Nothobranchius furzeri: one gene and its partner. The protein of the gene in region 2 purifies or fractionates together with the protein of the main gene of each other region. This does not show direct contact. Links are inferred from orthologs where the notes say so. Each region holds a gene or a part of one and is shown on either strand. Other genes may lie near its edges. The genes, in order: plekhj1 and ocrl.

Region 1 (4,396 bases), on a different chromosome or scaffold from region 2:
AGCAGCTCAGATGTTCAGATGGGAATCTTTTCTTGGGTGATTTAGCTACATTTGCGATGTGTGTAACGAATAAAATGTCAGTTCGTCTGCATGCGTCGGGGTAATTCTTTCTATTCTGGAACTATCCGGTCAACTCAAGCCCTGCTTTTGACTGTTCTGTTTTCTTGTGAAAATTGTTGGAAAGAGATCAAATTTAACTTGATTACCACCAGAGCCAGTGCGCCGTCATCTCCGTGATGGTAAACGAGGGAAAAACAAATTGATCGAATCCTGCACGTCTTTTAACACATTGGTCAGGATTGACGCACGTTGCTTTCATTTAGCTGGTTAAAAAAAATCGGGCTCGGGCCAGAGAATCCTGAAAACCTTTTCGGGCCGGGTCGGGCTGGGGCTCCACCCCCTCAGGCCGGGCCGGACACGGGCTCAGATTTGAGGCCTGTGCAGGGCTCTACCTCAAAGCGCAACACTGTGTTTGGCCAGTAGGTGGAAGTAATACGGCATAGAAATTCAATTCAATTCAAAAATACTTTTTTTTTTTTTGAATTAGAAAATTTAAAATTGAATTAGAGATGCTGTTTAAACAATATAATCAAATAAACAGGAAGAAATAAACACAAGTTACAGCAACCACTGTGATTTCAGCTTCAAATTAAACCAACAATGAATCTGCGTGAATGAGGAAGTGACAGGGAGTGAGAATGAGATTCCGCACCTTCTGGTATGCTAGCTAGTTGTTTTCTCTATCAGCATTCACAGCGTTAAATTTGCTGATACTGATTAGCCCAAAATTCTCCAGTTCTCTCTAGCAACCAAACATGATTGGCTGTCTAGTTGCAGTTTAGGAGCACTGGAGGAGTGAAAATGGTGGGCCTGATGGAGGAAATTCATTGTTTAATGAGAGACAGCTGATGAAAATTATGAATCATTCAAATTGCATGTGGGCACACACAATTAAGAAAATCTGACACATTAATAGTAAATATGTGAATATTTATATATATTGTAGTCTTATTTACTTTTTAGAATTACGCAGGAAGGCCGGCACTCCTTATGGACCAGCCACCACTGTTTACATTCATAATTTAATAAAATACATTTGAGTTCATTGCATAAATCTGTAAAAAACATTTTTGGAGTTATTGAAATTATGGATGTTTTCACATCATGACACCAATAATTAAAGGTGCAGTCTGATTTTAGCCAGACTCACTGTTATTGGACTCACCTTCCCAGTGAGGCGGTGGATTTCAGTTCGAAAGAATATAAGATTCCTCCTCATAAACTCATAACTGCAAGAGTATAGACAAGATACATTAAACAGTTTTTTTGGTTTAAGAACCAATATTATATAATAAGTTCACAGACGACTGTTGATCCTAACTTAAAATACGTGTAAAACAACAGTGTGAACATCTAACTGTATTTTACTCTGTACACTTGAGGTCAGATAAGTCTGGACTGATCTTAAAGAGCAAGTCACTCCCAAATCAACTTATTTTTTCTGATAAACTAAATGTGCGTTTAATTGTGCTGCAGACACGTGTAGTCAATAGTTTAGCACTTTATTTAAAATTTTAATTTTCTGCCTAAAACTGTCAGTGTTGTGCCATTGTCAGGTAAAAACTCAGCACTGCATTTGAATTTAAATCTGCCATCCCTATTGGCTAAGAGGTACCTTAAAACGTTAGCTGGTACCATATGATGTCACAATGTCGTTGTGAGCCTGTGTGTGTGTGCGTGTGCGTGTGTGTGTGGATTTGTTAGTGGCCCCGCCCTCTCAGTCTGCTAGGCAACAGCATTTGTTGCATTTGACCAAACAGGAAGTGGGAGTGGAGTAATACTTTGGTAGGGGGTGACTTGCTCTTTAAACAGCAGATCACAGCAAAAAGGAAAATTAAAAAGTCTGTTTTACCTTGCTTTAATAATAGAGTCTATCCACTCCTTACATTGCTCCTCGGAGTTGCACTCAAACACGTATTTTTTCTCAGTTTCATCTAGAAATGCTACAGAGAGACAAACACAACATTAACAAAATGTCACCGCCAATCAGCCTGTAAGAAATCAACACAGAAAGGGAGTCTGGGGCTCACTAATAGAGAAGGTCTGACTGTCCTCTTTCTCCACCCGGCACTGCTCCAACAACAAGGCTCCAATTGGCTGAAAAATAAACACTGAACTCATTAAAATGTTACAGCTCATCATCAGGGACAGAGAAAAAAAACTCATCTAACCTCCTCCTCATCTGTCCGGAAGTAAAAAAGGAAGTTAACTACGAGTTTCACCAGCCGCCTCTTGACAACTGAAAACACACACGCACGCGCGTACACGTACACACACAGAGAGAGAGAGAGAGAGAGAGAGAGAGAGAGAGAGAGAGAGAGAGAGAGAGAGAGAGAGAGAGAGAGAGAGAGAGAGAGAGAGAGATGATCAGTTTCACCGATATGACCCAAAATAACACCAAGCGGAAGTGAAAAGTGACGGAGAAAGTAACAGGTCTTACCGTCTCCTTTCTTCGGACCTCGCATTCCCATTTCAGCGGCCATCTCTGAAGGCTGGCGGCTCAGAGAGACCAGCTCCCTCTCGTTGAAACGCATCGCGTAAAATGGGAGGGGGGACACCTTTGCTAGTCTCTACGACCAAAACATTTCAAATAGAGTTAAAATAATAATATAAATGCAGTAGTTTCGTTGTTTATCATGTCGACTTATTCTGATTCTTTATCCGATGTCCTGAAAACGTGATGGAGAGTGTTTGGTTATTTCCAGGGTGAAGTAAAGTCAAGTGAACGGCATCTGCTAAACAAACAGGAAACGCTGATCGGTTCTTCTTCTAGTGGAGAGTTTAACGGTGCTTGTTAAACCAAATAGAAATACGCTTTCGCCACCTAGTGGGCTAACGCTTAAATGGCTCGTAAGAGCGAGGAGTTGCATGATGTCTGGATAGATAACTTTATAAACGTTCACTGATTAATATTAAAACTTTATGTTCCTCAAATACATTAAATATATGTTTGAGTGCTTCTGACTGAACAATAAACATTTACTCATTACTTGAGGTAGTTTTTGTCCCGTGCCCTGCAACTACAAAATAATTTTTCTAGTTTTTCCTATTGTTTTATAAACATTGAATTATAAATTACTTTATTTTCTTACAGGACTTACTATTTTCTTTTGTTAAACCGTGGCACATATAGCAAAATATTTCCTGAAGTATTTTAAAATGAAAATAATTATTACATTTTAGAAAAAAATCAAACATCACTCTGTTCAGGTTATGTTCTTCTTTTTCTTAACTGAAAAGTACTACTATGCCACGACAAAACGTTGCAGTATAAAAATTGATTCGCAAAATAATATTGCAAGACTTAAAATGAAGCACATTGATTTAAAAATCCATGATTGGGAGAAAAGAGTATTGAAAAGATTCCTTGTTAAATTAAATAACTGGAATAACACCAAATGTTGAACTGGTTGGTTTTATGCCTGTTTAAACTGCTGATACTAGCTCATCAAATTCAAAGCTCGTGCTCCATGAGAGCTAAGTGTAGTGAAAAATGGGTTTAGCAAAATTGACAAAGCAAAAGCATCCATCTGTTTTCTTCTGCTTATATGGAGTCAGCTTGTGGGGGCAGCAGCCTAAGCTAAGAGGCCCTCCCCAGGTTGGGCCAGCTCCTCCAGGGGAATCCCAAGGCGTTCCCTTGCCATTCGTGTGACATAGTCCCTCCAACATGTCCTGGGTCTTCTTTAGGTCTCCTCCAGGTTGGACATGCTCAGAAAACCTCACCATGGAGGCATCTAGGAGGCATCCTAATCAGATGCCTGAGCCACCTCAACTGGCTCCTCTACACCGAGCCCCTCCGGATGACTGAACTTCTCACCCTATCTCTAAGTGAGAGCCCAGAAACCCTGCAGAGAAAACTAATTTTGGCTTCTTGTATCTGCAATCTCGTTCTTTTGGTCACTACCCAAAGCTCATGACTAAAGGTGAGGGTAGGAACATAGATCGGCCGGTAAATCGAGAGCTTCGCCTTCTGGCTCAGCTCTCTCTTCACTACGACAGATCGGTACAACGTCCGCATTACTGCAGACACGATCTCATCCCACCTGTAAATCTCACTCGCCATCTTTCCCTCACTCGTGAACAAGACCCTGAGATGTATAAACTCCTCCACTTGGGGCAGGATCTCATCCCTGGACCCAGAGAAGGCATTCTACCCTTTTCTGACTCAGGACCATAGTCTCGGATTTAGAGGAGCTGATGCTCATCCCAGCTGCTTCACATTCGTTTGTGAACTGCTCCAGTGAGAGACGGAGATCACGTTCTGATGAAGCCATCAGGACCATGTCATCTGCAAAAAGCAGAGACCCCATCCTTAGGCCACCAAAATGAATGCCTT
Region 2 (4,610 bases):
ACTCCGACATGGAGAAAAGCCACATACCTCGTACAATTTCAAATTTATCATTAATGGGTATGGACAACTGAGCCACCGGACGGGACACAACAGCTTCAGGGTTGGCCAGAACACCCAGTCTGTGTAGAAACAGCAAGCATTCTGCCTTATCACAACTGTTGTTTATTTTAATATCAAGATTTTCCATCTTAAACATAAAGCACATATATAAAAAACATTGCTGCTAGCACTGACGTTCATGCAGGGTGCTTAACATTAGAACAGAGAAGATGGAGTCAAGATGTGCTTTAATTATCATGAACAATAGAAATTGAAAAAACACACATGCAAAACCTCTCTTTAGTGGCACACAACAAAAACAATAACTAGCAAGCACTGTGCATCATTCAGTTAATCAATACAAATCCACTGAGCATATAAAGAAGATTAAAGTGTTAAATTATCAAACTGTTGACACAAACGGCTTCAGAAGCATGATGTAGGTTTATGTAGGCAGGGTCACATTCCTGTGCTCACTAACATCTGACTAACAGCAGAGGACAAAGAGTCTTCCTGGGCACTCACTGCCCACTCTTCCCCTTCACTTGGTCTGATTATAGTGGAGAGGACAATTATTCAGGACTGCTGGGCAAAATGTGTCAGAAGCAGTTTCCCGAATCTGTCAGGATGAGAACTTCCGATGTAAACGCAACAGAATATTCAACAGGAAACAAAATGGTTTTTTTTATTCTCCATTTGTACATTTTAGAGCCTGACGTGACAAACCCTCCAGTTTTGTCTGTTTTATCCAGATTATTGTGTCAATAATCCCATAATTTGTGTACCACAAACTGGTACTGATTGTATCCCAAGCCAATGTACAGAAGTGCATAAAAGCAAATACCACAGAAAAACACACCGAAGGCACAGAACACTGGTATGAACCTCAGGTAATGCCTTATGTCATGCAAAATCTTTCAATCATTTAAAATAAATCATGTCTATTTTGAAACATTCATAATGGTTTTTTCCCTCTTCATGACATTACTCTTTGGTGGCTTGTGTGGGCTTGCAGCCTGCAGCCTGCGTGCCCATGTGAGTCTCATTACAGCTAAAGATGAAGTGAAGGAATTCTGGATAATCTGCAGTGAGGTTACTGCTGGTGAAAGTAACTCCAAGCTACACATATGATTAAACATCTCCCTACTGTCTACACACAAAGTCTCCTTTCACCAAATAAGCCCTGGAGCTGTCCAGCTCACAGAAACCACGTTCTGCCCACATGGCATCCAGTTATTTTACACCTAAGAGCTAATCTGTGTAGTGACAAGAGTGGTGTGTGTGTGTGTGTGTGTGTGTGTGTGTGTGTGTGTGTGTATGTGTGTGTGTGTGTGTGTGTGTGTAAAGGGGCATGCTCATTCAGTTAAACATCCTGGATTTAAAATAGCCACCAGCCTGAGATAACTCAAAAAGACAAATAAATCTGACATTCAGGATAGAAAACACAGACCGATGTTGGTTATCCCGGTCAACATCAAAATAACTTGAATTTTCATTTGCACATTTTAAGATTCCATCAGTGTGACAGCAGTCTAGTGCAAAGTGTGTTTAAGAACTTCATAAAACACAAGATAACAGCTCGATTGAATGTTAAGAGCTCTATTTTTGATTATGGAACAGGAAAGTAACTTGTTAAAGGTTAACTGATGAAGCAGCTCCTGTATACCCATATAATTCTGCTCAGGTCACACACTTCAGGTCAACTGCAGCTTCCTCTGACAAAGACAGCTCTCAACAACTTGGGTTTCATTTGAATGAAGTCAAAACTAAACAGGAGCAATAATAAAACAAAACACCTTACTGTGTTATTAAGCGATTCAGCAACAAACACACAGCTTTGGGACATTGGGACAACCCAATGTCAACATACTTTCAGTAATTGTTATTTCTGATACTTACTTAAACTCTCCATTGTGTTCAATTAGTGACAGTAACCTGGACTCCTTCTGGCCAGACCTCAGCTCCTGAGCTTTTACAGTTTGAGCAGCACAATCAAGGAATCATTGAGATGGATGATGAGATATCACAACTACAGCTGTTACCCAGTACTACCGGAACAGTGTTCGAAAATCATTATGAATAAGTCTGTCTTCAGTTGAAGAAAGATGTTAATGAAGCCATGCAAACTGAAAATCAGGAAGGAAATTAATGACAAGCATTAACAACGTGAAATAAGAGAGAAAGAATAGTGCCAGTGGCAGCAAAAATCTAACAGGGGCAAATATTAAACCAGGTTGTTTTATACAAACAACATTTGAAACCTGAGCCTGGAGGCTTTTTCATAACCAGGGTAAAAGGAGAAACCTGGGCCAGATCAATCCACAAAAAAACGGAGACTTAGATCACTAGATCCACAGACGTGAAAGGAAGAATTCAGGGTTTGACCGAGCCCATCAGTACAGTAGAGGAGCGGCAAAGAACAAAAATATATGTATCTAAGCAATTTTAGCAATACAAGCTACACATATCCTCCGTGTTTAGCAGTTCTTAGTGTTAGCTGTTACTGTGACTTCAACCACTGGATAATCGCAAATAGAATGTGATGCTACATAATCATAATACATAACAAGAAAGGTAAATAAAACTGGGTGAAATTATCCAGTATTAACTAAATGTGTCGCCACAATAAATGATGTGTCACTGCTTTTGTGGAAAAGAAAATTCTTTCTTAAATCAGCCCGAATAATAACATTAAGTAGCTATCTCACAACGGTTTAGTGAATTAGCCCTCTGATCAACTGTATTTACATGGCTAGCTGTTCATAACTCATTCGCTAACTCGTATACAATTCAAACACAACTTTAAGGATATTGCCAAGCATTCTTCGTTGCAAATCCCCAGCGTGGACTCCATTCTTACCAAGATAAATAAATACGTATCACTTTTAGGGTCTTTACGTTGAGCAGATGTTGAGGCAAAAAAAAAGTTAAATCTCCACCCGGCGCTGTGGCGGCCTCCTTCCGGGAAGCTGGCTAACCGCTCCTTTAGCCAGCTGTTGTTATTGTTGCCGCTGGAAGGTCTCACAAACGTTTAATGGAATTTAGGAGTTAAAACAACCCCTGATAACTTCCATCATTCTGTCAGAAACATGAGAATGTTCAGTTTCTCTCGTGTCCCTCTCGGTGTCAAGAGACAAACCCCTCGGACAACATAACGTTATCGGGTGGTTTGTAGCACACAGATATGCTACACTTCGAAGACTCCCAGGGTTTGCTCCCTAGCTAGCTACCCAGACTAGTCGTTCTTCGCCTTCATCAGACTTCAATTTTAGTGCACTCCTTCGCATGAAGGTACTTAGCGCTCCCCAGTGTTCTGGAGGATGAACAGACACCCGGCGACTTCATGCCGCAAAAACAAATGCTTCAAACTAATAGCAAATTATTTATATTTTCTGCTTAAAAATCTAAATTACGTTGTCCAAGACAGACACAAATATTTAAAAAACAATATTTGATTTTTTTCTTGCATATTAAACAGATTCAGTTGAGAGTATTAAAAAAACTTTTCAGTCAGTTTCCTTGGAAACGTTTTATTATTGTGGAGTTGTTTGAGACTAACACCAGAATGAACAGTTATGAAACAGAATATTTTAAAGAAAAGTCAATCAAATGGATAGAGTTCATCTGAGCCTTGTCCATTCCTTTACACAAAGAAAGTCTAAATCAGAGAAGATAAATGTCATTGTGGATAAAACCATACTTGTTCAAATCAAATCTGAACAAATAGTAGTTTGAATAGAGCACAATGACTCCTTGTTATTGTGTGTTTTACATTATGAACATAGTTAATTCAGAGAGGTGTAAGTTAGGTGACATTCAATCAAATATCTCTCTGTGTGTATTCTGCTCTTTTAAATCACCGGATATGGCTTCACACAACTGTTATAGGTTTTTATTTTGTGAATTGCATAAGGACTAGAGTCCAGGTGTGGCCAGATGTCTCCAATGGGCAAATCCCTCGTCTGCTGCACATCAACCATCTCCATTGTTAGAGCTGACGGGCTGAGAACATCTGTTGTACGGTAAGACTGTGTGAGGCGACAGAAGGAGGAGGTGTCTGAGACTTCTTCATCGAAGAGGTTGTCTATGAGCTCCTTCCTCTTTCTGCGTGATGCTTTTATCTGATCATTCAGGTCAGAAACCAGATCCTTAACATCTCTCACTATGGTGGAGCGAATTCCAAACAGGCAGAGTAGGAACACCAGTCCAGCACAGATGCCAGAAACGAAGTACAGAGCTACTCGCTCCGGGAAAACTGAAGGAGAGACGAATGTGGTTATCATTGGTCAAACAACATTTGTACTGCTTCATCCTGTACAATATGCAAATGCTTTAAAGGGGTCTTGACAGTTTTTGAAGTTATAATAGTCCTATGGTCTACGCAAAGTGTTTATGAAGTTCTTTGCTCTAAATCCCCATCCCATAAATCAATCTCAACAAATTTGTTCTTGCCAGTTTCAGTACCTTCCAGAATGAGCAGTCTCAGGGCTCTGTCTCTTTCAAGCAGCACTGGTTAGTTTACAGAGAATGCTGCAGAGCACACCATGTGGCCATTCGAGGAACTGCAGTCC

Evidence for each region.
Region 1: the proteins of ocrl (region 2) and plekhj1 purify together in Homo sapiens (co-immunoprecipitation; 3 studies listed by BioGRID and IntAct, counting the BioPlex papers as one, with this or other methods). This does not show direct contact. The link is inferred for Nothobranchius furzeri from reciprocal best matches to the Homo sapiens genes OCRL and PLEKHJ1.

Annotation. Positions count from the first base shown.
Region 1 is NC_091751.1:56,888,100-56,892,495, forward strand, and holds the start of plekhj1 (pleckstrin homology domain-containing family J member 1), read right to left. Parts: upstream 2,832-4,396; 5' UTR 2,595-2,831; coding exon 2,501-2,594; intron 2,300-2,500; coding exon 2,232-2,299; intron 2,158-2,231; coding exon 2,091-2,157; intron 2,004-2,090; coding exon 1,913-2,003; intron 1,290-1,912; coding exon 1,226-1,289; intron 1-1,225.
Region 2 is NC_091741.1:85,247,927-85,252,536, reverse strand, and holds the start of ocrl (inositol polyphosphate 5-phosphatase OCRL), read right to left. Parts: upstream 3,071-4,610; 5' UTR 2,894-3,070; coding exon 2,853-2,893; intron 2,020-2,852; coding exon 1,939-2,019; intron 120-1,938; coding exon 28-119; intron 1-27. Other genes in the region: si:ch73-335m24.2 (protein eva-1 homolog C), read right to left, coding at 3,891-4,294. UniProt on the Homo sapiens protein: Catalyzes the hydrolysis of the 5-position phosphate of phosphatidylinositol 4,5-bisphosphate (PtdIns(4,5)P2) and phosphatidylinositol-3,4,5-bisphosphate (PtdIns(3,4,5)P3), with the greatest catalytic activity towards PtdIns(4,5)P2.